4 linked regions of the Lepisosteus oculatus genome follow. The protein of the gene in region 3 interacts with the protein of the main gene of each other region in a pairwise test. Links are inferred from orthologs where the notes say so. Each region holds a gene or a part of one and is shown on either strand. Other genes may lie near its edges.

The links.
Region 1: the proteins of fam161a (region 3) and liprin-alpha-1 interact in binary tests that used the Homo sapiens proteins (3 or more experiments, as listed by UniProt). The link is inferred for Lepisosteus oculatus from reciprocal best matches to the Homo sapiens genes FAM161A and PPFIA1.
Region 2: the proteins of fam161a (region 3) and cadpsa interact in a two-hybrid assay, tested with the Homo sapiens proteins (2 studies listed by BioGRID). The two-hybrid records come from large-scale screens. The link is inferred for Lepisosteus oculatus from reciprocal best matches to the Homo sapiens genes FAM161A and CADPS.
Region 4: the proteins of fam161a (region 3) and hmbox1a interact in binary tests that used the Homo sapiens proteins (3 or more experiments, as listed by UniProt). The two-hybrid records come from large-scale screens. The link is inferred for Lepisosteus oculatus from reciprocal best matches to the Homo sapiens genes FAM161A and HMBOX1.

Annotation. Positions count from the first base shown.
Region 1 is NC_090716.1:5,712,673-5,720,530, reverse strand, and holds the start of liprin-alpha-1, read right to left. Parts: upstream 3,021-7,858; 5' UTR 2,090-3,020; intron 1-2,089. UniProt on the Homo sapiens protein: May regulate the disassembly of focal adhesions. May localize receptor-like tyrosine phosphatases type 2A at specific sites on the plasma membrane, possibly regulating their interaction with the extracellular environment and their association with substrates.
Region 2 is NC_090699.1:48,655,207-48,662,719, reverse strand, and holds the start of cadpsa (calcium-dependent secretion activator 1), read left to right. Parts: upstream 1-4,498; 5' UTR 4,499-4,937; coding exon 4,938-5,273; intron 5,274-7,513.
Region 3 is NC_090712.1:9,715,935-9,723,947, reverse strand, and holds the start of fam161a (protein FAM161A), read right to left. Parts: upstream 3,018-8,013; 5' UTR 2,691-3,017; coding exon 2,523-2,690; intron 900-2,522; coding exon 640-899; intron 238-639; coding exon 1-237. Other genes in the region: cct4 (T-complex protein 1 subunit delta), read right to left, coding at 3,826-3,840, 4,569-4,682, 4,882-5,116, 5,487-5,617, 5,703-5,813, 5,969-6,065, 6,197-6,336, 6,440-6,572 and 4 more. UniProt on the Homo sapiens protein: Involved in ciliogenesis.
Region 4 is NC_090697.1:60,387,319-60,394,479, forward strand, and holds the start of hmbox1a (homeobox-containing protein 1a), read right to left. Parts: upstream 3,015-7,161; 5' UTR 2,586-3,014; intron 1-2,585. Other genes in the region: ints9 (integrator complex subunit 9), read left to right, coding at 3,183-3,191, 4,061-4,188, 6,919-6,979. UniProt on the Homo sapiens protein: Binds directly to 5'-TTAGGG-3' repeats in telomeric DNA. Associates with the telomerase complex at sites of active telomere processing and positively regulates telomere elongation.

The sequences.
Region 1 (7,858 bases), on a different chromosome or scaffold from region 3:
GAACTGGACCTTCTGTTGAGGTTTCTGCAGAAGCGAAGCACAATTTAGGACACCAGGATAAAAACAAAAGCCATAGCAACCGCTGCACAATGAAAAGCTAGGCTCTGCAGATTGACCGCCTTTTACTATTACAACTTTATTTTCCAGGGTTTTTGTTGTAGTTAAGTCCCAGGAAATGTCACAACCAGGTCAAGATCTATGACATTCTGCAATACATTACAGGAATTACCAGTCAAGCTCCAGACAAAATGTGGGATAAAAAAAAAACAGTAAACAATAGAGCAATGCCTTTTAAAATCCCTAGTTGAAGACATTCATTCAGTGCTAAAGGCACTTGCTTTTTATGGCTTGCATGTCAGAAACCATTGTGTTCAGCTCAGTGCTCCTTACAACCAAATGTCCAACACTGGGCAATTTGTCCTCAGGAAGACGTTTATGGCCATCAGATATAGAGCTCCTAATATTAAAGGCATTTAGTTTTCGTTTATCAAATGCACTGTCAAAAATAGAAATCAGAATAATATCCCTTTACAACATAGCACTTACACAAGAGTCAATCCCACTTACTTGCATGTCAACATTCTTCTATTGGTTTAATGATAGCAGCTCTTTCAACAATTTGCAGTTTAATTGTACTTAACTAAGGAGTATGGGTGTTTTTATTCAGAAAACATGTTCTGATTACAAAGATACACAGCGTGGGGCAAAGGTTAATATTATCTACTTATTAGCTATTGAACGGGTAGGTCTGAGGACACACAGACAGGAACAAAGTACACCCATAAATGTCAATCAATTTGTGAGGAAAATTAAAAAGGACAATCTATCTGGACAATACTTTTTAGGCACTTCAATATCTGTTATCAATAAGTTATTTTTTAGTTTTCCATTGACACAGAGTGCTGTATCCATTTAAACTGATAATGTGGAAGATCTGTGGTCCTGGAAATTATCTTAAATGCATTACTGACTGCATAAAGAATGCCTGGAGTGACTTAGAAATGCAGGCTTTCAAGCTTAATGTACTGGGATAATTCATGATCATTCACTTAGGACACACGCTTTAAAGAGATACATACTTCTGTCTATTGGTTGCTCAAAATGAAGTTTATGTCTTACAAATAAATCATCAGAAAGGACATCAGAGTAATAAACAGGAAAAAACCCTCTGACTTAAAATATTTGGTTCTTCTACTGGGAAGAAAATAAATTGAGCGCAGAATTTAAATAATCACGTTGGTCTTCTCTTCATAAACTCACAATGTGTCACCACAGGGAAATATTTTCAGCTCGAGCAGACTCAATGTTTACGAATTCCAACCCCCTGAAAAACAACCAAGATCCTTCCTGTGCAGTATTGGTACAGCATACGCTGGATAGAACTAAGCTGCCAATTCTCCTATTCTAATTTCGTTTTTATAAAGTATTGGCCTTTATTGTGAAAGAAAACCAATTTAAATGTAAAAAATGGAATTCAAATGAAACCAGTTTTACTGTATATTAAACTCGTTTAAAAAAAGCGGAGAGGGTCTTTTTATATAGGTACATTATTCGGTCTAAAAATGATGCTCTGCACCCTTTATGATAAAAATAAGCGGAGGCGGCTACCTGTCAGAGCAGATGTGTTCGTCTGGAGTAACAGAATGAAGGAAAAGCTGTAACAGTTTTGTGAAAAGCGCTTATTCAACAGTTTACTGTGCGCCAGTGACGCACTGTGTGTGTGTATTGATTAGTTCCATTCGCGAGCCAGAGGCCCAGTAGGTAACCAAGCAATTAAGTTTTCCACTGCCCTCTTAGAGGTGTCTGCTCATTTAAAGGCTTTGTACAGCACGATAATGGAGCTGCGTGATCTCGAAGCCTTACATAAAGAAAGCTAACTCACCTTGCATCAGACACTGTATTTGCAAATTCATAAACAATTTAAATAAATAAAAAACTTAGAAAAAGTAACCCTCTGTTGTTGCAAGTGTGCAGGCGTTACAGTCGGATGCTTAGCTAAAACAAAGGAACACTTTTCAATAGAAAACGAGGGGGTTAAGAAACCGCTGTCTCCCTCCATATTTATAAATACACAAAGAACACTGTTTACCTTGCCAGAGAGGAGGAAATATCTTCTGTCAATTCCACTTTCCCCTCTTGTATGAGCTTGTTAATACAATCCTTTATGATTATTGTTATTAGCAGCTTTTTAAAAAACGAAAAACAATATTTAAAGTGCTATCAGGTATCCTCCAAGCCATCCAACAGTAATAAATCCATCAAAGACGTAAAATAAAATATTAAACAGCTACCCAGATGGCAAAAAAGAAAATCCCAAAGGCCCGAAAGAGCGAAAGAGACTTGGATTCCCGTGACTTCCTGAATTAATGATGTATTTTAAGAACTACGAGCGCTAAAAAACAACTAAGTTACCTTATTAAGGTAAAATATAACGATCACAGCCAATCATAATAACCTCCTACAAATACCCACAGTGTTAGTGGGATAATAATATCAAACGCTCCTGGAAAACAGATGTAAACTAAGGCAATCCTGCAATTTTTATCTTCTTTAGCTGCAACCAGCGATCGGGCCCGCAACGCGTTATAATCCAGTTTCTATTAACCAGGGAGCCATCGCAAACAGCTAGGAGGACGCCGGACAGAAAACATCGAATTGGTACAGTATTTCCTCTTCGCTGCTTCTCTGTTGTCGAGGGTCTCTCCTTTCAGCCGCGTCACCAGCCCAGAAGAAAAGCAGACTCCTTTTCCAAGGGATCCGAGGAGCAGTGAGAAGCAGAGGGGATACTTGAAACTCCTTAGTCGATAAAAATCCCAATTTATCCTCAGTTCGGAAATACAGATGTCCCGGATTCCTTTGTTTCCGGGATGCCCGAGGCCGAAGTCATCCAGCGCCCGTTAATGTAACAGGGTTCAACCCCGGTTTGGTCGTCCTCTTCTGTCAGAACTACTTCTCTCCCTTTCCGTGCTGGAGCCTCGGCTCTCGTTATCTCCAGTTTCCTGTTCTCCAATAAATCACTGCGTGACGTTCCCAACGTGCACTGCGCGCTGGGAAGTATCCACTTCCAAACTGCAGCGCCCTCTGAGGTTATCCCCGGAATTAAATACGGGAATACCCCCTCCAAAATCAAGTGAAGTCAGGTAAACTGCCCCCAATTGACTACTAGTAACCAATTGAGTTAGATGGGCCTAATGGCCTGATTTTGTTTGTAACCTTTTTTTTTATTTTCTTACTAAAATCGACTAAAATGTTTATTTCCTTCCTAAAATCTGCCTCACAGTCTCACATTCATGCAGCCATTGGAGATGTACTGTATGGTCGGAGCCAAAAGGGCTTTTTTAAAATTATGCCCACATTTTTCCATATACTGTACCAGCCTCTAACCATCGTGCGTGAATAATTAAAGACTATACTGACGTTTCTTTGTCAAAGAGAAATGTGCCCACATGAGACTGAAGACAGGAAGGGTTGAAAAAGATGAAAATGTCAATCAATTGTTTAAGATGCAAGCCTTTATTTTATGGCTTTGTCTGGGGTGTGTTTTTAGCTGTTATATTCTTACATGGCCAGAAGTTATTTAATAAGAAACAATATGTTTGAAATCAATCTTTATACCATAAAGCACTCAGATTACTAATACTACTGTTTCCTGTTTCATTTAAATAATTTACCATTACCTGACCATATTGACACCCCTAGTCATTTCACTGACCCCAGCCTTTCCCCCTGCCTTGAGGGACCTATCACTCTAAATTACTGTAATTAGTCATGAACATCCTTTCTGAATAGATGGAGGTCAAAGGTTAAGCTCTCCACACCTCGTTGTGTTCTATTTTCCTTTCTTTTCCCAATTTACCAGGATAATATAACGGCCTTAAAGCCCTCTGGTGCATCCACAAAGTGACAATAACTGCAGTATGGTTGTGGGAAAGATGGGACTTCAGTTGTGCTTTTAACTGGGAGTGCATGGATTTCTGGGAAGTGCTTCATTAAAAATGTCCCGAAATACAGGCTGTGACTTTCTGATAGAAGAACATCAGAACATTAAAACATGAGAAAAAAAGTATTAAAATTAGTTCTCACACAAAGGGCTCTTGCTCATTGTTTTCTTCCAGTCCCCTCCCTATTCCATAATTCATTTGTTTTATTCAAGTAAATGGACGAACCAAAAGGAGTGGAGAAGATTGGCGCTTTCTAACCAGACTTAACTCCTGACTCTGTCGTTTCAGAACAGCAGAGTGCCCCATGCCCTCTCACTTCCTTCTCTCTGCCTCCTCTTTATAAATAGAAGAAGACTGCTTTTTCACACCTACCAGCTGCTGCATGAAAAGGAATGCACTGGTCACAGAAGATGCACAAAACAAATAGAATACAGCAAACGAAAATGTTCCCCCACATTCTTTATTAGTAAAGAAGACCAGTAAGGCAAAAATAGATGTTTAATTTATATTTCTAGGGGGCTTTCCTTATAGAAGATGTTATTTAGCATATGCTGCACATATCAAAAGCCCACCACTTACTGAAACACAAGACCAGCATTTTTGAGACAAAGATCATGATAAATAAATAAACACCCTTTGTTCTGGCTTCTACTGAGGATGAAGTGCATTCCTCTTGGCTGAAATGTGCTGGTAGTGGATGTGATCATATACAGTTGAAAATGGAAAACAGTGGCATTATTTGCATAGAAATCTTTTTGTTTTAAATAACATATTTTACAACTCACACACAGGTTATCCATGTCTTAAATCAACCTGTAACTTTCGATGTTTTTTATAGTTAGTATATGTTCTGGGAATACAGTAACTTTCATTAAGTTTGACTTGTGATGACTCATGGTTTTGTTTCACAGAAGCACAATAATACATATCCTGCTCATTGTGCTGAAAGCAATACTCACAATGTGTTATACAACTTTCAGCATGGCTACATAATTTTTAATTATATATTGTGCATACAAACACCCCCTCCTTTCATCACTAGCATTTGTGCTGTGATCACGAAAGTAATTTAAGTTTAAGGAGTTAAGCAATTTTTATGTACAAGTGCAGCACATGCAATACACAATCATGTACAATATCTATACATATATATGTATGTACACCTCAAAAAGTGTTTATGTCACTTCGCTCATAACTTGGATATTTTAACATCTATATTTCAAGTGATCGCATAACTGTACTTGAGTATACAGGACCATGGGAAATGCATACTTTGAACGGGCTGTTTTGTTTTTTCATTGGCTGATGGATGGTTTGATGTTATACTTAGAGCATTGTATTTATTTGATCCCAAGTATATAGTAAAATAAAATGTCAAGGAAAACAAAAGGCCTCATGCATATTTCACGTATTGCATTTTAGCTTCTATCATTACTCAGTTTATTGGGGAGACAAGGATGGCACTGTCTCAGCAGATGTGTTGCCTGTGATTATTAATAGTGTGCATCTAATTCACCAGCTGGACACTTGCCATTAGAAACCTCCCAGTGGATATGGTGAAAAAGCCTGATCAGACATAAATCTGTTACAGGTTTTACAGCATTTTATACATTCTGATATAGACACAGAAAAAGAGGGCATTGCTTTAAAACAGCCACAAAAGATTGGTATGTCACTCCATTAGCTACATACTCTATGTTCCATCATGTGTATGTTTTTCACCATTATTACTTTTTTAATACAAAACATGCATGGTAATACATGGACAATTTTAAACAAATTTATGCTGAAGGCTTTCTTTAGTATTTGATCATTTGCATTAATGCATTATTAAAAAAGAAAATGATAACTTCAACAATTATTACCAATACACAGCACAAAGATGTTAATTATATGTAAATATAGTAGTCCCTGCACATATTTCTACGTACTGTGTGTATAACAGCAGTGAACTTGGCTCCTCCACAAATTCCAATCTAGAGTATTTGTCAATGCATCCCTTTATCACCCCTCACATCCACTGCTATTTGAAAATCACAGTTAGAAGCAGACTGATGTGTTTTTACAGGTACCAGTAAAGAATGTAAAGAATGCATGGAATGTCACTCATTCCAGAAGTCTGACAAAAGCAGAATTTACCCTGGAATCAATTGAATATGGTTTGGTGCAATTACATTTATCTTTCTTTGGTTTTAGAAGTTGTGGTTATTTATGTAAGTTATGTTGTTATACATTGAGTTCCATAGAATTAAATGGGTAAAGATCCACCTTGTTTAGGCATGTGGGCAGGACCAAAGTGTAGGGGATTCCGGAATCGTAAAACATTCTGTATAAATAGCTAGAAAATAGCACACTCAATTGCTTCTTGAGTTGAAGCAATACTAAAAGACATGGCAATTAAAGACAAGACTAAATTAGAAGGGTTACGAAGACTTCTTTGGCTTCTATTATTACAACTCCTGTATCTTAACTCTGGAGAGAAAGAAGGAATCTGCAGGTACAAACTGATTAGGTGGGGACAGTCATTTGCTTTTGGGTAGTTGGGTCTGGATTTCATTTCTACTATTCCTGCTTCATGCCATAATTCACAGATATTGCCAGACCTTACCAGGACGAATCTGTGTTTCTTTTGGTTGACAAAGTGCAATGCTGCCTTCTGCCAGTTTATGGAAAGCATCACATTTGACATATCCCAGTGGAGCCGGTTCCTCAGGATTTGACACCAAAGAGAGTGTGTATCACCTATACCAGTGTGCGATGCTGCAAGGCTAACAGTCTTAAACACAATATAACCAGCAGGACAACTTGGTCTGGGCGAAGGACTGTTTCTACACAATGAACATAAGAGACCACCGGGGGTGTTCTGGGATATTTTCAAAACAAAGTGCGATGGAGACTCCTAATTAAAATGACAACATCATTTAAAAGCTCTAATTATTTTAAAGGAGCATCCTAAGCCTTGAATTGACATTTAGGTTGTATGTTTCAAGTGTGTAGGCAGGAAATTGTTAAGGAGCATCTCTAAAGCATTATTTTTGCTTTTCGGGAGACAATAGACATTTCCTCCAAGACCAAGTTAGCGACAATACTGTGATTTTAGGACTTTTTATATAATGACAAATACACTGTACATCTGTCCACTGCACTAATGCCTATGCTACAAGCGCTGAAAGTGTGAAGCAAATTGATTGTTCAATACTGCTGCCATAACAAGTTGAAATATTCATTAGGTACAAAATCTACATTCCCCAGTACCTAATCTATTCATTAGGTACAAAACATATCCCCACATATGTTTTGTTCACTGATCTTGAAACAGCAGCAATGATGAACATGGAAAAGGAAAGCTCATTTTCCTGATCTTTTGGCTTTTGCTACTTTTTTCTCTGTTCCAGAAAAAAATATTCTGTTCTTGCTAAAACAACCAGCAAATTAATTCCAAGGCCCAGCAGGACACACTGGAACTTTAAAGGCAGAACTGACAGTGCTGTTTGGGAGAATTTAGATGCCCTAAGGGAATGCATGGAAAAATGTTGAGAGCAATCTGGCTTGGACAGAAAAACAGTCAGTGAAGCATATGGTCTATCCAAACACTTGGATGACCTTGATTTCCTGCATTAATTGGATTTTTTTGCCTTATTATTCATACCCAAAGTTGACATATTGTATAACTTCTTACAGAAGCGTGGCATTGACACAGCTGCAGGGAGTACTGTAATAAACAGTGCAAAATTGAACACAAAATGAGGGAACACATTGATTCACTGGCAACTTCAGATATGGAAATTGAGCCTTCTTTAAAATGAAGAAATGTGAACAATGACATTATCAGAAATGAGATTTGTGACACAGTAACCATACTAGAGAAGAACAGATTTGGTCAAAGTGACCATTTACTAGCAGCATGATTAGTGGAT
Region 2 (7,513 bases), on a different chromosome or scaffold from region 3:
TAATTTAAATATGTATTTTAACTGAAAAGGTTAAATATAAGTATGCATTATATGTTGAGGAGTTTTATATGTGTGTTTTATTAATCAAATGTTAGCGACCATTCAATGGAAAACTATGTTTACTTTTCTTGCTTTTCAGTTTAAGGTTATTGTTATTACTCTAAAATACAATTGAGAACAAAATTCTTAGATTTCTTTCAAGTCATTAAAATCAACTGACTTGCATTAATTCAGTATTAATATAAGTAAAAGTTTAGACCACTGTAGGTGATTTAGAATAACCTAACTAATCTACACATTCCTGTCTAATTGTTAAAAATAGATCAGACCCCTCAGATCATTGTATTGACAGAATATATACAATTGAATCTGATAGTTTTTGTATGGTATTGTAAGGTAGTTTTATTTATATTTGACTGACTGTATACAGTACATGTATAGAATCCACTGAATGTTTTACTGCACTGTATGTACTCTGTATTATATACGGTTTGTATATTGTCTCAGTGAAAATTTCCACCATATGTGGACAATAAATTCGATTAGAAATAGAAATAGAAATTAGAATAAGATTTTGATTCTGAAATAAAATACTTTGTCTAATGTAGAGACTTAAATAAGATATGTTGACTGGATGATTAAATTGCAGAACAATACAAAAATCAAGGTTCCAGTCGTACTTTTCATTTACTGATATACAGTACATTGTTTTAAGCCGTGTGTTATTCTATACAGGTGGTTACATGTTTCAGCTTCATATAGTTCTTTGTATTTACTGTACAGTACCTGCTTGAAGACCATGGATTTCAAAATTACAACACAAACAAAACACTGATTTTATGTGTATTTTTTATTTCTGATACAGAAGCAAAATACAAAAGGTTCCTAAATTATCAAATTACTTTTCCATATGGAGAAATACTTCTATTTGAAGAAACGTGCTGCACCACTACTAAAATTCTTTAAATTCAATTATATCCTGGACTGGTATCACGGTAGCACATTGGTTAGAATTGCTGCATCACAGCCCTGGGGCCTGAATTCAATTCCTGGGGTGGTATCTGTATGCATTATGTATATTCACTCCATGTTAACATGAGTTTCCTCTGTGTGCTCTGTTTTCCTCCCACAGTCCAATAGGAAAATTGGCCCAGGTGTGAGTGTGTGTGTTTGAGTCTGTGTGTGCACTGAGATGGACTGGCATCTCATTCAGGATGTATCCTGCCTTGCATCTCTTGCTTACAGTACCTGGGAAGGCTCTCTTGTGACCCTGTACGGGATAAAGTGGATAGAAAATGGAAGGATGAATGAATGGATATCCTGGATCCACATTCCGCCTGAGAGGAGCATGAATATCCAATTTCAAATAAAGACTCCAACAAAGTTAAAGGTTGAACAGCAATTCAATTCAGTTAATATTTTTTTCTAAACATCTGTAACATTATTTATGAGTTCACTCTTCCAACTAATAAAAAGAATAGAGATTTGTAATCGTCATTTTTTTTAAGAACAACCTTTCATGTGTTATCTATATTAATTCAATTATGGAAACAAAAAAGTTGAAAGCGCCGAAACAGCATTTAAAAATGTTTCCTTTATAAATTAATAAAATCCTCAGCATTGGTATGCTGCCATTAATATGCATATAAACCATGTTATATAGCTAAATTTCAGAAGTACGTAGAAGAGCTTGTGTCTTAAAGAACTTATTAAAATGCATTACCCCTGTATTACAATAATTTGTATGATTGATAACCTATGTTGTTCCTGTCATATGCATAAGCATATAAGCATGAAATAATATTCTGTTTCAGTGTAATTCCTTGCTATTTTATCTATGTAAAGTCAGTTTAATAACCAACAACATAGATTTTCTGATGATTTTCAGATTAAAGTACGTCACAAGAGTCTAGAAGGTTTCTGTGTGTACTGAAATATGTTATTTTTAGAGGGAATCATTTAACTAATTGTTTTTTTTATAATATTATATATAATCAATGATGTTTGGAAGATGTGGAGCTACCTGAAATGAGATATAAGTATGTATTTGATTGTATACAGTATGTGCACAAATGTTTGGATTTATTCACAAATGATTATTTATTCTCAGTAAATCTGCAGGTCAGACATAATCCAATAGTTGTGAAAAGCATTCTGTTTTATTATTAAAATGTTTGGTGTTGCTAATGACACATTTAGAAGAGTTGTGTTCCCTGGAAATGTACTGTTTGTAAACTAAGGAACTAATCTCTGTAGATTTTCTTTTTCAGAATAAAGGAGATCCCAAAACGTTTTTGTTTCAATCAAAATATTAGGTTAACATGGTTTTGCTGAATGTTGTCTAGTTAAAGGAGATGACATCAAAGTATCTGTGGGAACCTCAGTGTGAATTATGGATGTAATACGGTAAATGAGATTCTCTCAGCATTAGTTATGTCTCTGAATAATATTTAGATTAAATTAAAATAGCAAGGGTTTTGTTGTAGTTATGAGACTGCCTTTCAAAGGAACATAAACCAAAAACATTTACATTGATGCATGATTTTGTATGATTTAGGGGCTAGATGGTGGTGCAGTGCTTAGCATTACTTGCTCAATTATGGACCTACTGTAGGGTGCAATCTGAGTGGAGTTTGCATGTTCTCTCAGTTTTCACATGGGTTTCCTCTGGTGCTCTGGTTCCCTCCTTCAGTCCAAAATACCGTTAGGTTAGTTGGCCCAAGGTGTCTGTGCTTGTGTCTGTGTGTCTGCCCTATGAAGGACTGGTGTCCTGCCCAGGGTGGTCCCCATTGTTTGCCAGGATAGGCGTCGGCTCACAACGCTGAACTGAAAGAAGTGGTTAGAAAATGAATGGATGTATACTGTATATAAATAATGGTTTTGGTTACATAAGGCACTGCTCCTTCAAATGAAAGATGGATCAAATAATAGATGCAACCCAAAACAATTTAACAGATTGACTCTGTGTGAAAGGTACCTTGTTCATACTCTACTCATAATGACAAAAAGTTAACTACTGTAATGCAGATTTTTATCAAATGTTGTTTATCAACCGTTAGCTTTTGTTAAGCTACAGTACATCACCCTCTTAAATATGATAAAAACAATGATGAAAAAGGTGCTGGCATTAGATGTAAAAAGTATTGAAGATTACGGAATTAGGATTTTCAATAAGAAAGCAGTTGAAGGGTATTATAAAGAAGCCAAATGGCATAAATCAGTATCAAAGTTTGTGGTTTACTAAAGGCTTACATTATTTCTTTAGTAATTACAAAATATAAAATATAGTGTAACGCTTACAGCCGACAGGCACTGTGTAAGAGCTGGCGTACCAGAGCAGGTGACGTCACCGCCCTTCCCTGTGATAGCAGGACTACAGCTACTGGGCTGTAGAGAGATCTCTCTTTAGCTCACCGGGCTGGGTCCCTGCGGGGTGACGCGGGAGTCCTGGGTTCGAGCCCCCGACGGTGCGGTCCTAATGCGGCAAGGGCGCCCGCCTGAGCCCCCATTGCGTTACAATATAATGCAATCCAAAGTTTACATACAAAGCAAGGCCAAGGCATACTACCTCTAAGGCCAGAAAGATTATTTCAGAAATCCAAAGTCCTAATGACAGCTGAGGACAGGAAGATAAAACAGACTTTGGAATTAATATATGTGATACAATACTGGGAAACTAATTGAAAAATGAGCGGTCTATGTAACTGCAGACCTCACAAAATCTTTGCCTTAGAAAATGTAAAATAAATTAATCATAATTCAGTTTACTTTTGTTCTGGTTGGTGTATTTTATGATATATTCTATGTGAAAATGTTTACCATGTCTATATACAGTGTGTATACATTATACATATTTATAGCGTGTGTTCATGTGCAGTGCATACAAATACAATTTGCTATAGCTTGATAGTATTGCTATCAAACAACCCGACACAAATAAAGCAGACTGTGACTCAGAATGTAGTCCAGTGCCTAACACAAAATTCCAGCCTACTAGAATAAACCAGAAAATTTGATCTGATTAATTGAAACGAATGAAAGAAGAAACGTGAACACTGTACGCATGATTTTCTGTTAAGGAGGTTGAGTACGGAGAAGAGCCTAGGTGTGGTACAAAAACTCGCAAACTGTCTATGTGTAAATTTCGGATTGAAATAAGGCAATCAAAAGCAAAACAAATCCAAGACGACATTGAACAGGTCAAGCCCAGACTTAATATTGTACATACAATTGGGATGAAAGCGGTGAATCTTGCGGGTCTGCAACTTGAATTGGCAATTGTTTTAGTATTATTATGTGAGAGCCATATGCCAAGCTAAGTCTGCTTACTGTCAATGCGAGGGACAGCACCAGCCTTCTGCAGCCTACAATACGGTCAACATTTCGATTCAGCACCCTGGACAGCTCCCTGTGCCCCTGCATTTCAGACACCGCATAGCAGGATGTGGCTATCGATCGGTTACCATTGACAGATTCCCGCAGGAAGCAGAGGCAGTCAATGGATGAGCCTCGATCCTGAAAATTTTCACTCTTTCTACATCCCTCCCCTTTTCCTTAATACCTTATCCCTTTCAGAGATCCCTGGCGGTGACTGGAGAGTTAAAATACAGAAAACACGTAAGCAGCAACAGCCGCGTTCGGTAGGGGGAGATTGCCTTGCCAATACAAACAGCTATACAGGGCGCTTTCAACGTCAGGCGTCCGACTACATCGCATCCTTGTATCTCTGTAACTAACAGGAGCAGGTTGGATTTCTTATTAATACCAGGATTTTTGATTTCCTTCCTAATAGCTTTTAAGCAGGGGTGCTGGACTTCATACAGTCTGTTCAACGCTCTTTTTCATCTGCATTTGCTGCCACTACATATCCTTCGGGTCCTGCATCTTTCATCTTAGCTAGGTAGCTACCACTGTAGAAAACAACTGCAAAACCCAAAATGTTGGATCCGTCGTCCAGCGAAGAGGAATCAGACGAGATAGTGGAAGAGGAGAGCAAAGAGGTAATGGCACCTCCGGCCGGAGCTCGGCTTTCCCCAAGCCGGACCAGCGAGAGCTCCGGCGGGCTACAGCCCAGCAGTCGGAGCAGTAGCGTCCGCCCATCCAGCCCGAGTCCTTCGGTGGTAAGCGAGAAGGAGAAGGAGGAGATGGAAAAAATGCAGAAGGAGGAGGAGGAAAGAAAGAAGAAGCTGCAGCTATATGTCTTTGTGATGAGGTGCATTGCCTACCCGTTCAATGCAAAACAACCAACAGACATGGCGAGACGACAGCAAAAGGTAAGTGTATAAAAAAGGAAACCCATCTCAGCAAACAGAAGCGGGAGCGAAAAAAAGCTCTCCGTGGGGTGTATTTTGGAGGCTTCCAAACACTAAAAATAAAATTCCATTAATATCCATAAACCCCTTGTCCTCTTAAACACATCACCTATAAATTCTGAAAGCTCACTGTGTTTTTCATTTCTTCAAAATGCACCTAAGGCTGTAACATAGTCCACGGGTATCATAGCTACTGTACATAAAGCGCTATAGTGGACTATATAGTCGAAGAACTGGGACTGCAACACCATGCATATTTGAGAGATTGTAAACTGGATTTGCTCCGTGAAAAGGGCTTAGTGTTTCCTCTCACTGAAGGAACATACCACATAAACGCTCGGATGTCATGCAGTTACAAAACATAAAATACGTGTATTAATCTGTACAATATCATGTCTACAATGTTTTGCCGTGACTGAAAAATATTACATATCGGGTTCCTGCTAGGTTTAATCGACACGCTAAAAAATACCACAATAAAGTCGTGTCATTGTCATAGACCTTACCTAAGTCATGTGATTTAAAGATCTGAAGTCTGGCGCTGTGCATTATAGCTATGCAAAAGCGTGGAGACGACATTTAGGACAACGTGAAGAGAAACAGTTTTCCCGAGCCGTTCTCCTTTGTCCTTTGAGTAGCCGTTAGTTATTTCACAAGGTGGCTTCATAGCTCATACATTTATTAAACAAGAAACACTTATAAGGGGTTCAGATGATTAAGTTGCCGCCATTTATTTAAAAATAGATGTTTTGTTCGTTAAGATTAAAAAAAATATATTTCTAACGTCTTCACTTTATTAATGTTTTTGGTCGCTGGTGTTGATTGTGCCTAAATTAACTGCGAATTTTAAGTTAATAATGCCGAAAACAAATTTTCCTGAATAAATGGTGTATCGCAAATATAGTGGGCCCTAGGCGCTTCCTTATTAATATCATGAAATCTCACGTACCTTCTTTATAATGTAAGTTAATTTATTTTACAACTATCTAGTGCCCTGGTCCCGTTAGGTGGCGCCTGTTAAAGTGAGGAGCGCATGGTAGAATTTTGTCCTTGCTGTGAAAAGCGCAGGTCCTGCAAATGTATTAGAAATGGTATTAATATACTGTATGACATTCAACAACCTGAATAATAGAACGGCCCATTGTTGGATAAGAAATATCGTGTACCCATACCATGATATGTGTTGAGTTTCAAATATTGAACTATTCCTATATCCTAGTGCACAGGTCTTTGTATGTTGAGCTGAAGGCCGCTTTTTAATGGATCATTGCACTAGATGTTTCAAGACAGCATACAGTGTTGACTACTGCAGCGGAGTAATAGCTAAAAATAAAGTTATCCTTTTTTAAATTTATAAAATAAATATAATAAAAGTTCACAATAGTTGGTCCATGTTATTTGTATTGTGCATGTACAATTGTAAAAAAAAATCATAATCAAACTTGCACTGCAATATTTAAAATGTTATCTGTGTATGTTCAGTGGTGCAATGCTCCGTGCAGAGGATGAGGGCTTCTGTGAATATACTGTGTGTTACATACATTGAAAAGTCTCTTCGTTACTTCTTTAACAGTCAGTCTGGGAAATATCATTTTTTGGATCAATAATAATAAAGCAATTATTCCTTTCAAGCCCAGTCTGTTCATGGTTAAGCTGTCCTGTTTTTTTGTAACAGGACCATGCAATCATATTGTGCTGCTGTTATTCTCCTTTAAAACCAACAAAACAGTCACATCCAACTCACAAATCCCCATGCTAATAAAAAGAACACAGTTATTGTCAGAATTGACCCCTTTATGTATAGCACACAATGTATTTATATAATATACTGTACTGGGCATTCATTATGTGGATGTGGATTCACAATTCATTCATGGATATGCATTAGACTTCATCTACAGGAGCTAAAATTTTAAAAATACACAAGTCTGGAAATATTTTTTTTCTTTTACATTTAATTTGAAAGCTTTCCAATATCTTTTGATTTACAAATTGAGTTATTTAGGTTTTAGAGTAGTTATACTATACAGTAGGGGTCATCTTGATCACAGAGAATCTTTAATGGACAACACTTTTTAATGGGTGAATTTCAAACCATACTTTAAATTTGCTTAAACATACTGTGCCATATGTGTTGCTAATATTTAAAGAAGTTGTGTGACTTCTTTGAAATGCTGTCTTGAAACAAAAAGGAAAGAAAT
Region 3 (8,013 bases):
GAACTCGACTGCATTCTCTTACAGGACACATAATCATCCACTGAAAAATCATCCCACATGTTTTTAATGTGCTCCTTGGGAGATGACAGCAGACCCTTTTCAACATCCCCTGCCTCATTGTATGCTGCGTCTTCATCTGATGTATCTGACAAACTTGAACAAACAGTATGATTCAGGTCATTCGCAGAAAAGGCTTTTCGAAATGCTTTTGTTGGCTTTGGACTATTGTTCTGCAATCTAGGAAAAAGAACAAGTACAAGTCAGAGCTTTAAATCTGAGGTAAAGTAAGGGTTTGAGATACTGCAACTCAATATATTACATATTTAGTAGTCTGGAATATAGACACACATAGGTCTCACTGGTTAAGCTGCAAATTTAAACTTTAATAATGTGATGAAAATGTTAATACATTTGTTACCATAAGTTACTGCCTGGCAAGACAAAATCTGAATAACTACAATACTTCGTATTATGTAGATGCATCTTTCTAAAGAATATATTGACCACAAACTCTGTTACGAAATTCGCTTTGTTCTCAGCAGTGATGATGTGAGTTGATGAGAAATCTAAGATCCAATGTGGCTTCTAGTCTCACTTTAGGGGGTGTTTAGGTTACTGGGGACACCAAGAAAGACAAACCTGCAGAACAACTCAGGGTTTGCACACTCATTGTCAGGAGCTGCCACTCCTTTGAGTTCCATCTTATTGCGATACATCCTTTCCAGTTCTGCCATGGTCTGCAGATGGGCTTTCTTCAGTTCCTCCAGTTTTCTGTAGTATTCCTCATTGGAGAAGTAAAATTCCTGGAGATCCACACAGTCTCCAGCCATTCTGTAGTCCTTAATCAGCACAGGACTGTCCTTCCTGCCCTCACACTCTAAGCCCGACTCATATGCATTCTGCAACACAAAATAAAGCAAGAATAATTCAATTAAAATGGCATGATGGCATGCTGACAAGGTCGAGGTTTCCAAGAACAATTTTTGAACCAGTTTTAATTGTATTAACATTAATCAAATAAGAGCAAAGCCTAAAGCAACAGATGAAATTATGCTTCAGCTCAACTACACTGCAGGCAGGATATTAAGCGCTGTGATGAAGATTTAAATATGTATGAAATACACTTTATTTTGCATTTATTTAACCATCATACTGGAGGCTCCACTGAAAATACAAAATCTTCATCACTGATAAACCATTATATTTTACATAATGAACTTACAAACACAGGTTTAAGTTTAACTTTGTTGTTTTACAATGTAACCTTTAAACAGCAGGTCTCCTTTCATATTTAATTCGTCATTCACAAACAATATGGTGAACATCAGGTTTGAACTAGAAGACACATACTTTAACCTAAGGAAATATTATAAAAGAGCAAACCACTCTCTGAATACCATATCCTCTCAGCATTAGAGCACAAAGCTCATTAGTTGAAGTGACCATATGGCACTCAGCAGTGCGAAGATGTTTGTAGCAACAGTGATAAAAGGTACATGTGTATTCTTAACACAAGCTCATCTTCTATAATGACCAAGATACTGAACAGCCAAGACAGAAAGTAAAGAAAGATACTAAATAGGTTACAGGTATCAATATGCCAAAAATATATATTTTTTTATTCCATTACACCGATGCTCACAACTCAAGACACATTGGTTCCTTCGGGTGTTCAGAGGAATGTCTGAGAAAGTCACAAGCATTCATCTTCTAACCCATTCTTCCAATTTAGGGTCGCAAGGGACTACCCAAGTATGCAATATACCACAAGTGATTTATCTGCACAAATTAAAATCCCCCTAAGGGAAAATGCTATGAAATTTTAACAATACCTCGCCATAAACAGTTACATATTAATATTTCTAATGACAAATATAATCATCCACTAAAACATTTGGTCCATTTAAATACTGTATAAATATTTGCCTCACCTCAGCGTGCAGACAAAGGGTGAAAAATGAGTATCCCACTGTACCTGTCCGCTGTTCGAGTGGCTCTGTACAATACAGATTAAAGAGCCACACTTTTCTCCCCTGTAATCCATTAAACGTTAGTGTCTCATCTGCATCCTAGAATAGTTACAAATCGCAGAAGCTTTCTTTCCAGAAAGGGTGTTTAACTCCAATCCTCTTAAATAATTAATAGTCTAGCTTTTGGTGGAATTCTAACAACGCGAAAAGAAAAACCTTCGTTTTAAGTTTATTATTTCGGGCCCTTTGTCTTCTATACTTTAGGAAACGTTTTCTTAAACAGTTCCTCTGTAATGGTTACAACGAAGGTGTGGAAATGAGGAATAAAATATTTGAGGCTCAAGGTAATTGCAAGACTGTCTGGAGCCTACCAGTCTACCATTCACTACCAGTCTTAGCTTGACTGGCGACGGTAAAGTGCCGATGCCCAAACCAGAAAGAAATATAAAAATAATCTAGAGATACTCATTAAACATTTTCAGCGCTACAGTGAAACGGTCACAGGAACAGGATTTCTCTTGCCAATTCTATGTTTAATTTCGGTACTCTTACCTCTTCCTCATAATCTCGGGTACGGGTCTGCTCCGCCGGTAAGGACCTCTCGCCCCGTGTAGCAGCGCTCTCCCTCTCAAACAGAGCAACTGGTGCTTTGGTAAGAGGGTTCACGGGGGTTTTGAGACACGAAGTTACCAGGACGTTGACACGGTGCGAGTTCTCCATTGTCTTGCACTTGACTCGCTTTCGGTTTTCAGAAATTCAGGCTACTTCCCAGTGCTTTGACGTCCTACACGCCCGTAACTCCTAATCCTACTGTTTGATGCTAACCGCGTTGCAACCCTGGTTACAGTTAACTCTACGGGGCAGCCGCTGGGCCAAAACTCCTCTAATCGCTTAAGGTACGGCGTTTCCACCAGTCCCGTGTACAGCTCAGCATTTTCACATTTGGCAACCTTGAATTAACTCCAACTATAATAATAAAGCACACTCTTTAATTGGACCCACTACACGAAATCATGTTTCTGTTCTGAACAGAGAATGCGGTGTAACCAGTTAGTTAAGCGCTCTATATAAAGTGTAATGCCCTTACACGTATTGCAGCTAAAATGGTTTGGAGCATGGAAAGTCCTTCAGATTCATTCTATTTGACAAAGCTGTTCAATAAGATTTAAAGATTTAAAAAAGTCTAAGTGACAGCGCAAGTGTTAATCCATAAGCCTGGAGGAGGTGCTGCTCTGGAAATTTAAGTTAATGACCTTTCTACAAAAACAGCTAATATTGTAGACTATACCTACTCATGCATTGTCTCCACTGCAGATATTCCAATAACTTTTTTCCCCAGTGGTCTTTTACAATTCAATTTTTGGAAAAACATCTCAAGGTGTTTTTCAAACAAACAGATGAGCTGTTTTAATTGCTCTTGATCCCCTGACAGTCCAAGAGGCAATTTGAGAAATGGCAATCTGTAAAAAGCTTACTTTTACCAATGAATCTAAGTTTCTTTTATGTGTGGACATGGATGAAACATTTAAACCAATGTGTTATGCTCATGTAAAGCTTAAATGAAGAATAATGCAAGATCAAACATGTTTTAATACAACGCAAATTAAGACAAAGGTCCACCATTTTAAAATCAAACGGATACCACACTGGTAATCAAAAGCTGCAACCAAATAATGTTTTTGCTAAAAAAAGGCAAACATTTTGATCTCAAAAGATTTATTAAATTAGTTAACAAGTACAGATTAACAGACTACATATGTGACATTGGTCTGCAGGCTCACTACATTAAATCAAGGCCTTGTCTGTACGAAGGGCCAGGACGTTTTGACCTTTCTTGAATCCACAGAAGAGGACTTCACCGAGTGTTCAGCTGAAAAAGAATATTTCAGTTTGAGATTTTACTTATAACATAGTGTTTAAATACTCTGCACAATCTAATACAGATCTTAAAAAAACCTTTAACTGATTTAAGTTTATACTATAATCTTAAAGTCATCAACAATATTTTACTGCACTTTATCCAAGTTAACTACAAGCAATGTCTTGAAGTAACTATTTTAAGAAATCTCAACAACTTCACAGTAAAATTAAATATCAATCACATTACAGAGTATTTCCATTACAGAAGTCATCTGCTTAAATATTCAATATGGACAAAACGAAACTGGCTATTTGTCAGAAACCTGTGATCAGTGCACCATAAACAAAACACACAAATAAATATTTAACACAGTTTAAATTATAAAACAAAAAGTTTATAACTTACTGAAAAAGTGTTTAGTAGATGTATCCATCTCTTTAGTAAATATCTGATTTTTTTAACTATAGGTCTTAGCATGACTGAAAGCTAATATACAGCTTCTAGTTACATTATAAAGAATCACTGCAGAAGTGCTGTACTGATGGCGATTCAGGAGTTAGAAAGGCATCAATCAGCAAGTTAGGATGTGGCATCCAGTTTGCCTGTTAAAATGAATTTTCCTTCTGAATCACAAGTGCATCAAATTATCTTTTCTTATTTAGAGTCTTCATCCCACATTTATCCCCCAACAAGCTTTCAGCACTGGTTAGAGCAGCTCTCGTAATAAGGACCCTTACCACGTCGTCAATCTTGAGAATACTGCGCACAGTTTCAGTGGCCAGAGTCAGGGCGCTGATTGACACCAACAATGGCTGCACCACCAGCTCCTCCAAGATGTTGGAAATGCCACCCTGTGGAAAAAACAGAGGACTCCCTCAGTCAGACCTGCTAAAACTTTTGACGTGCAAAAATAAACTCCTTCAGTACATTGTAAACAACATTTAGAACCAAAATCTTTTGCGTTATTTTTGTGGCACCTTTGCATGATGAAAAGTTGCAGCAAAACCCTTATTCTTCCCGGTCCCCTTACACTTGAAGAAGGAAGCTTACCTTTCGGACATTGATGCCGGCTGTCCTCTCTCCCTGCGCATGCCGATTCCTCAGCTCTGTGACAGTGGAGATAGGGTTGAGCCCGGCATTCTCTGCCAGCGTGGAGGGAATGACCTCCAGAGCATCGCCAAAAGCACGGACGCAGTAGGCCTCCATGCCACTCAGCGTGCGGGCATATTCAGCCAGGCGCAGAGCCAGCTCAATCTCTGGAGCGCCTCCCCCAGCGATCAAGGCCCTGTGAAGGGATGGCAGGGTAAGGTTAGGGTCCAACATTCAGGAGCTCATGCTCAAGGTAAAACAATTCATTAATAATTTTAAAAACTGCTTATATGATGTAGTAAATCTAGAAGCAGTTTATTCCATACAAAGCCACATACCAGTAATTTAGCTGTTAGTCGATACATTTTTCCCCTTTCATTTTTTTTTATATGACCTTTATTAAACAACACTGCACTGGGTATTTTTTTTAAAAAGTCACTTATTTTAAATGAAGTTCTTCACAACTTCGCCAGTCAATAAGGCGTGTGACACAAACCCTTTTTCAATTAGGGCACTCCAACCTTACTTTGGTGTAGAAAGCACCCACACTGAAATTGTAGCAATACCTTTTCTTCACTAGGCAGCGGATCACACAGAGGGCATCGTGGATGGAGCGCTCCGCTTCCTCAATCACAAGCTTGTTGGATCCACGCACCACTATGGTGACAGTTTTTCCGGGGCTTGCGCAGCCAGTAATCTGTATAACAAATCATGTTAAGTCTCTTTGCTTCATCTAAAAAGCACATTTCTTCAAAAACTATGCTGACATTCAAATGACTTACTTTGACAAGCTTGCCAGACCCATCCAAGCTCACTTCTTCAGCCAGCTCTGCAGAGCCCAGCATATCTGCTGTGAATTGGTCTATGTGGGCCACAGGTTTATTTCCAATAGTCTGCAATCACAAATACAAAATATATCTATGGTGGTAAAGAATTCCTTACAAGAAAACAGTATAACTGTAGCAGACAAAAGTTAGATCATAATTAACCATTTTCAGTTCAGAAATGCTAACAAGATGTTGACATAAAATATAATTTATCTCTTTACCTTGCAGATGAATTCAATATCTTCTCTTTCGATATCTTTAACAACCATTATCTTCATCTTGTTTAGGAAATGAAGAGCCAAGTCACTCAGTGCATCCCTGGAATTATATTTTAAATGATCATTAATAAACTTAATTCACAATACTTACAAGAAAAAAACAGAACAAAGCTGCAGTATAACAAGAATAATACAAAATGGATTTATATTGCAAATGGATATGAACTTTACCTTAAAATAGATTTCTGAATGAGCAACACATTGCATCCAGCCTTTTTGATTTGCTTCACCAAGTTGAGGATATAAGCTCTCTCCTCACGTAGCACTCTGTCCATTTGGGCATAGTCAGACACAACAATCTGATTATCCATCTAGCAGACAAAAACAGGTCAATGTCAGTACACCATCTGACTTCACAACTACATAGTCCTTCCACAACGCCAATTACTGTAGAAGTGAAAATTTTAAACTTACATCCGTCTTTGGAGGAGATAAGCAGAACTGAATAAGACCAATCTTTGCCTTTTCAACCCGAGAGACACCAGAGTTTGCTACTTTCTGCGTAAGCACAAGTCCATCAACCAACTCACAGTCATCAATGGTTCCCCTGTGAATAAAAACTTTGTTAATTTCCATTCTGACAATTTCTTGTTACACCCCTAGATGTATTTCCCCATCAAAAGCACAGCTACTGCACCTTGTCAACTCACCCCAATTTCTTCACAATTTTAATGTCCTGGAGGTCAACCCCCGTGGCCGTAGATGGATCAATCACCTTCATCACAGCATCAACACTCATTGGTGCCAGCAGACTGGAGTACTGGGACACAACCTGGACAGGGATAAAACAAAAAAAGATATTCAACTGAAATGACCAGTCATTTAAACTATAAAAATAGTTACATTTCATCTTGCACTTCAAAAGGGCATTCCTAGTAGAAACTATTATGTGATGACTAAACATTTTATAATGCCTTTATCATAGAAGATTTTGAAATGATTTACCTTGGAGCACAGTGACGTAGTGGCACTGTTCAACAAAGACTCTCTGTCACTCAGTTCCACAGGCTGGCTCATGGCTGTCAGAACCTCAACACCCTTCTCCACAGCTTTCTGGAAAGATTCCGAAATAATGGTAGGATGGATTCCTACAACAAAATCACATTAATCAACATTAATAAAAATGGACAACACTTACCATACACCTGTGGCAATGCAAACTAGCGATTAGAGCTCTGAACTGCGGATCAGAGAGCTGTGGAATCAAATTCCGGGTGGGATGTTATTGTACTCTGATGCAAGCCTAATCACATTATTTACTCCAGTAAATGCCTTAATGTACAAATGGGTATTCTCCTGGTTGTGGACTTATTCTAGTTGACTTATTCTGGTTAGAAAACTAAAAAAATATAACTGACTCCAAACAAACAAGATGGAAATTCTTTACCTTTCTGAAGCAGTTTAGCACAAGCATCCAAAAGAGCACCTGCAATCACCACAACAGAAGTTGTCCCATCACCAGCTTCAATGTCCTGAGCTTTGGAGAGCTCCACCAGCTGGAGTAAGCAAAGGAGTTTAGGTTAACTGCTGGCCATGAACTTAGAAGGCAACAGAAGCAATTCGATAAAGCAAGTGATATTACCAAAACTGATTAGATCACCCTAAAGCAAATGCCTAAGTTCAGTTGAAGTTTGATAAAAACAATTTCACATAGCGGAAAAAGGAACTCTATCAAGGCTGTTTTGGTCATATTATCTGTGTTTTTTTGTTATGCATTAATATTTAACTGCCAAATTTCTTGAGTGTTTTCAAATGTTACATGAAAACTTACACTACTGTTAAAAATACAATTGTTGTATTCAAGATGGTTAAAATTTCTGTAAAATGGTGTTGCTTTGAGCTAAATACTTAAATCCACATTTTTAACAGAATGAATTAATCATTAATGTACACGTTCTTCTTAGCAACCAATTAAAGTACATCAAGTCATCTTTTGACAATACTGTACTTACCATTTTAGCAGCTGGGTGAAGAACCTGCATTTGTTT
Region 4 (7,161 bases), on a different chromosome or scaffold from region 3:
CAGTTGGGTCTGTAAAATGAGTTGTAATGCATGTGCCACTGCTGGAATTTAAAGCAAAGGTTTGACTTCTATGGCTGGATGTTCACATAATGCCATTTGATAAAGTAAGGGCCCTTGTTATCTTGAAGGAGCAGCATTGTCGCCTTCTAGGCAGATATATGAAGCTATGCAGTTTGAGCCTGTTCATAGGAAACCCCAAAGAAAACCAGACTGCTGTTGTAAGTGGAATTGGTGAAGGAATAGATCGCACTTTTCCCTCTGGGCCAGAATTTCCAAACCAATGTCCCCGTATGGGGACCTGTTACAACTGTGCTCTAGGATTTGCTGACATTCAGATACTTGAAATAGAAGTCCTGACAAAAACCAAAGATCCTATGACATTTTTAGAAAAGGTAGGAATGTTGTCTAAAGTAGACTTTGATCACGTACAGTCTGGCTTTCCTAAATTTTCCTCTAAACTGAATTGGTGAGGCTGTTTCTCAACTCAATCCCTGAACTGCTGTATAGTGGAGCTGCTGGCACATGATTGCTGCCTAGGTGGGCACTGTGCTACACAGGTAGAAGAAGTGGGTCTTCTCCTGTATGTAAAGTGCTTTGAGATTTATTGGGTTAAAAGCCCAAGTTTCAAAGAAGTTTCCAAGCCTTGACGAATTCTAGTTTAGGCTTTGATGGTATTGTAACTACTAAAGTAACGTCTTGCAATGTTCACCTTATTTTCTGTAAGGGGATCTGCTGGCTAAGAATAGTACCCATGTACTTCGGCAAAGAACGCTATGCTGTAATTTTTGAGGAGAACAGTTCTTTATTATGGCCTTGGTAAAGAGTAATATAATCCCATGAAACCCATTTGTGACATGATCCAACAAGCATTAAAGTAAGCATAGACAGTGCCTATGAAATTGCCCATCGATATCTGAAGATATGTTAGTTAAATTCAAGTCAGGACACAGACCAGATCACAGAGGGTAAACGATGACAAAATGCAATGACAGTTCACCTAAAAGAAGTAAGTCACACACTGCTGCCAGTCAGTTTGGGAAGTGACGCAGCACCAATTTGTTAATGGCACCACACAATTGGTCAAGACAGATGTGATATCATAATTTCAGATCAAGGTGGGTTAGTGTCTTCAAACATGCCCTTTTTCCACCACCTGTTCTCCAAATGGGGGCAAGTTACAGCCTGGATACCTGTAGAAGTTCACGTTTACAAGTGGAGCATACGGCCCGTGACTCACTTTGGCAGACAGCCATTTAAAGGAAAGGCTGACTAGACATGCTGATTTTTCTTCAAGATACAAATGCAAATCCACACTGAGGTAAAATGGTGCGATTCTCTTTATCTCTGAACAGGTCTAACATTAACTGCATTATTTTCTGATCTTAGAGTCTAACTCCAGTACACCTCTGGAAATTATTGAACACAAAAAGTTTTCACAGTGTTCTACAAAGAGAAACAACAAAACAGAATTAGCAACACTCACATATGTCAAAACGTCCAGAACTGTGGATTTCGCAGTTATCAGTGAAGGATTCTTCACTTACTGTTGTATTTTAGACAACACAACATTGTTTGCTAAAGGTACAATGACTGCTCCATTCTGTACACACTATGCATTGAGATTTATTTCTAATTTGTACTGTACAGAGCAATTATCATAAGGTCACAATGATATGTAAGAGTCAAAACGAGTCAAAAACTGATTCATTCCAATTCATTTCAAACAGACAACTTTAATTTTCTTCTGTTTTTGATGCATCTAAACGATGCATTATGTAGAACAGCCCACTCAATATTCCCTTGATCTATAGCAATTAATTTGAACATATATTACTGAGAAAGAATGTGTTGATTCAATAAACAAGGTCAGACTAAATATACTTGACACTATTAGGACGATGATGAACATGAATGATAATCGTTAGGGAGTTAGTATTTGCTACTACAGGTCATACACCTCCGCTCGGTCAGACGTCACACATTCAGAAATGAGTTACGTCATTATACTTCAAGACCACCAAAACGCCCACACCGCCCAAAAGCTACCACATACTTGCACCACCAAAATAAACACACGTCCCAGGGTACAATGTTTACGGCTGCTGGAGTAAGAAACACCATCCACCCACTGCAACACCTAGCGTGCTGCACTTTAAAAATGTGTAAATTATGGATCATTTTAGGACTACTGCATTTCGAGTTGATAATCCAGAAGAAATGCAGGTCGCTTATTCTTCCCAAAATATGAATTAGTTTGCATTTTATAGACATGGCATCGTGATGAACATCTAGCTGACAATGCATTCTCAAAGGACATTCTGTGTTGAGAAGCACATACTGTGCGAACAAAAATCTGAAGATAACTCCCCCACTAAGCATAACACTGATAACACTTATGATAGTTAATCATGTTTACTTTTGCAGTTTCAAAAGACCTGGCTTTATGTTCAGATCGGAGTCAGTGTACACAAGCAACCAATACACGTTTCATTAAAACTGAAATACACCTGATCAAAATTCGACCTGTATATCATTCGAACAGTGTAAACTAATCCAGACGCTGCATATTGACACATAATTCTTACCTTTATCAGTTTATCTTGGGCCTCCGTCCACCACACCATTTAATAACAGGAATACAAATAAATTCCTAGAGTGATCCCGCGAATTTAGCACCGAAACAAAACATACACGAGTTATTTTTTGAAACCCTTGCTGTCCTTTTCCTTCTAATTTGATTTCAGTCAGAGACTAGACTGACTTGCCTTTGTCTGTCTGACAGCAGCCATATTGACATCAACATCAGAAAGCAGAATGAGGTTCGTCGGGAACCGTAGTTTCTCACAAAGTATAAAACCGAGTCCCTCTCAATCTGAAGCGACAGGCTTCCACCGAGAACTACAATTCCCGTTAACGTCATGGACCTACTCCCAGCGGGACTACAAAGTAGCGGCCGACAGAAACACTCGTCACACGTCGCTCTGCGTTCTGTTCCCTTTTCACCCTTTGCTCTAGCTACCCGGCAGTGAAAATTAAAAAATAAACTACATCTCCCAGAGGAGGTGACCACAGGAAGTATGTTGAAGTGAACTATCAACTTTGACTCTTGAAATCCAAAAGATTTGGCGTGGGGATTGTAAATATATACTGTACATCTAGGTCATCTGACATAACAATTCAGGATGAAACTAGTGAGTATACAATTAAGTTATTTCATTTCTTGTTGCAAAGTCCAGGCTGCAATAAGCATGGGTCAGTTGAATGAGGGAACTTTAGAGAAACTGGAACGTTTTTTATGTTATTAGCAGGAAAAGGTGACTGAAGTTCGTTTGGACAATTCACGTTACATTTTACAAAAGCTGGACACGTGTTGAATAGAAATAATCTAATGTTTACCACTTTACTAATGTACAGTATATGCATTAAGGAAAAGACTAGTGCACGCAAAACCTGACGTATTAAGCTTAGTGTCCTGGTTTAATTCAGTTTTGGTTTATTTTAAATCTGGCCTTTCTGCAATTGTTTTAATTCAGATGACAAAGCAGTTTCGTACTTCTTCACATTATCTATTGTGTGTAATCAAATTGCTGCACTTTAATAGATGGAGTCGGTCCCTTTCATAAAGCGCTTCACGTCTGCAAGTAATTATTTTTATATAGCACAGTGTTGCTGAACGATGAAAATAAGTACAGTTCAACGTCATGATGTTTTGCAAGCAAATTTAGTATTTTACTGTTCTGTACTTTGTTTTGTACTTACAGGAAAAGATTTGTTCACCGCTTTAAAAAAATGTTCTTCTTTTACGTAATCAATTGTAAATGGTTCGATGTCTGTTCCAGTTTGTCTGATGGACTGTAATAAATCAACTTTATCATGTATGTCATCACTAACGTCGTGTGAATAAAGAAGGAAGAATATCCCAGTAGTTGGATTTAAATTTAAGAATTGAAGCTCATAAAAAAAAAACATTTTTCTGACATAGCTTATTGATAAATACTTTTAAATGCAATTGCCTCTCATGGTTTAAAAACATGATGTGTGTTATCCTGTATTTGTGTAGTACTGCTTGTCTGGTCATCCAACCTTGCCCTGCAATGTCCTCAAATTCAAATCTACAACCATCATGCTGGACTGTGGGCTTGACATGACATCAGCGCTGCACTTCCTGCCTTTGCCTCTAGTACATAGGTAAGACCATCAACAAAAAAAATAAAAATACAGTCTTCATAGTAAAATTCACACATGTTATTGGTGAAACGTTTTTCAAAGAACAGCATGGTGACACAGTATATAGCATGTTTGCCTCCCAGTGCAGGGGTCCTGGGTTTTAATTCCTGGCATGATCTCTGTGTGGAGTTTACATGATTTTTTGTGTTTGCGTGGATTTCCTGTGGGTGCTCCGGCTTCATCCCGTGGTCCAAAGACATGCTGGTAGGTTCACTGGCTTCTGTAACACTTGCCTTACTGGGAGTGTGTGCCCAGCAATGAGTTGGCATCCCATCCAGAGTGTAGCCTGCTTTGTGCTCAGTGCTTCCAGGGATAGGCTCTGGAAGGGCCACTGTGACCCTGAATTGGACGGGCAACTATTGAAAGTGATGATGTTGTGATGTTTTACAAAGGAATTTGGCATATTCTTCTTGTTCTATGTAATTTTAATTTCCCAGAAACATCCTCAAAATTGAGTGAGTGTTATCTTTTAAATATAAAGTTGACCTAGCATGTTCTCCCTTTTTCCTTTGTGAATTGTTTGTGGAGAATAAGTAAAGAGGGTTGGATTTCTTCAGGAAAGCCAAGATATTTTACAAAGCTGTTAGATTGAGAGGATAAAATGTGATCTGATGGTTGGCTGAAAAGCCCACTTCTCCTATGGCGATATTTATATAAATCAAACCACTCTAAACAAAGACCCTGAAGATTTGTTGGAGCGTGCGATCTAGTTGTTTTTTTTATTTGTAGACTTTACAATTCCTCGCAAACAACTGGACATCCAAATAGTGGAGAAAAAATAAAACAGTCAGCATTTGTAAAATAATTATAATGCTTATTTGGAAATCAACATTTTAAAAACCTGGAGCTTGAATGAACAAAGATTTGGTTAGAAGTATAGAAAAAAACAATCTAAAAGAAATGGCCAACATTCATTGTCAAAACTCATAGTTTTGTTAGTTTCAAGTAAAATGAGCTGTATCTAATTTTTGGTTTCACATAAAGACATTTGTTTGTTTAGTTAAGTAATGATAGATCTTGATTTTGTTCACAAATCTTGATGTTACTTTATTGTAATATAATACAAATCAAGTCTGTTTAATGGCAGTGACAATGAAAGTTATAAATACAAGACCTTTAAAAATTGTTTATGTTCCTTGTTAATGTTTAGAATTGTAATCACTACCACTCAATTGCACTAGTCATTAGCTGTAATTTGCACTCTAGTGCTGTATTTTAAATTTAATTACAGCTCAGGTTTGGAGTCACTCGATGGAAATATTGTAGTTATGTAATTCTTTTATTTATCAATAAACAAATCACATACATAATTGGTTTACAAAAAGAGGAGAGATTGGGTAGTTTGCATTAGGTAGAACATAATAATAATTTCTCTGACATTTTTTTTGTGATTTAATTAATGCATAACAAAATAGGGCAGCATTATTGTGCAGTGATTAGAATTTCTACCTCGCAGTGCTGGGGCGTTGGGTTTAGTTCCTTGGGTGCTATCTGCGTGGAGTTTGAATGTTCTCCCCGTGTTCACATGGGTTTTCCCTGGGTGCTCTAGTCCAAAGACATACTGATATGTTAATATTAGCCCTAGTGTGTGAGTGTGTATGTCCTGCCGTGGACTGGAGATCCATCCAGCATTTATCCCACCCTGTGCCTGTTGCTTGCCAGGGTAGGCTCTCACTCCAGTGACCCTAAATTGGATGAATTAGGGTGGACTATGCAAACATGAAAGCTTGATATTTTGTATTCTAACATTTTTATTAACTATTATTTTTAATGTATTACTCTTTAGCTGTGATTTATCCCAACATTATGCCAGTATAAAACTTACAGTTATATATCTTACAGTTATATAGTGCTTTTCCGGACACTCCTCTCATAGCACTTTAGAGGTAATGGGGACTCCCCTCCACCACCACCAATGTGTCCACCTGGATGATGCGACGGCAGCCATAGTGCGCCAGAACGCTCACATTGCTATTAGTGGGGAGGAGAACAGAGTAATGAAGTCAATCCATAGATGGGGCTTATTAGGAGGCCATGATTGGTACAACTCAATGGTTAATGATAGGACTTAATTATATTAAACTACAGTAAATGCTGTATTTGTCATCATCATTTAGTAATTCTGTCTGAATTACTAAATTTTGCAAAAAGTATTTGTAAGTATTACCTCTCAGTGAAATTATTCTGAAGTGAAGCACATTTGTTAAAGATTTAAGAATTTAAAATAAGGACACACCTGTACTTTTACATGTTTTTGAAAGACTAGACATCACTGTCTTCTATTTTAGTCTGTCCTATTTATCAGATGTTTATTCCAACAGAGAGCCTTAAATGAATGGATTGTTTGTTGATCTTAAGAGATTTGTTATTTATAGCAAGAAGAAAAGCTTTAGAAGCCCAGATAGTTGTATTAATAGTTTATATATTCTGGTGTTTCAGCTTGTACAGCTGTGTGAAGAAAGAGTTCAAAAGCAAATTAAAGCCAGAATACTTCCTCCGCATGTTTCTTCACCCACCAGAAATGTAGCTTTTTTCTAAATAGCAAAAGACAGGAAAAGCCTATGAAGCTGGACTGAGAAGTTAATGCTGAGGTTACATTGTTTTTTGGGGGAAAGTCAATGGGACAGTTTGTTGTATACAACTATATAATTTACAATGCTCTGTAAACCCTAATATATTTCTGTCTCCTAGTCAAAGACTGTCCAGGCTGCCTGGCTGGGTGTCGAAGGATGGGAACACTCTGTTGGAAAAGGTAATGAGACCTATAAACATCACACAGTTGAATTCACATGAAGTGTCACCTCCACAGTGGTTGTAGAAAACAAAATAATAATGTTAAATGGTTTGTAGAAATGACCTGCTCAAGACACAACTTACAAATATTATATTTATGAAGCTTTATTTTTGCATAGATTGGTGTTCCAGTTTTATATA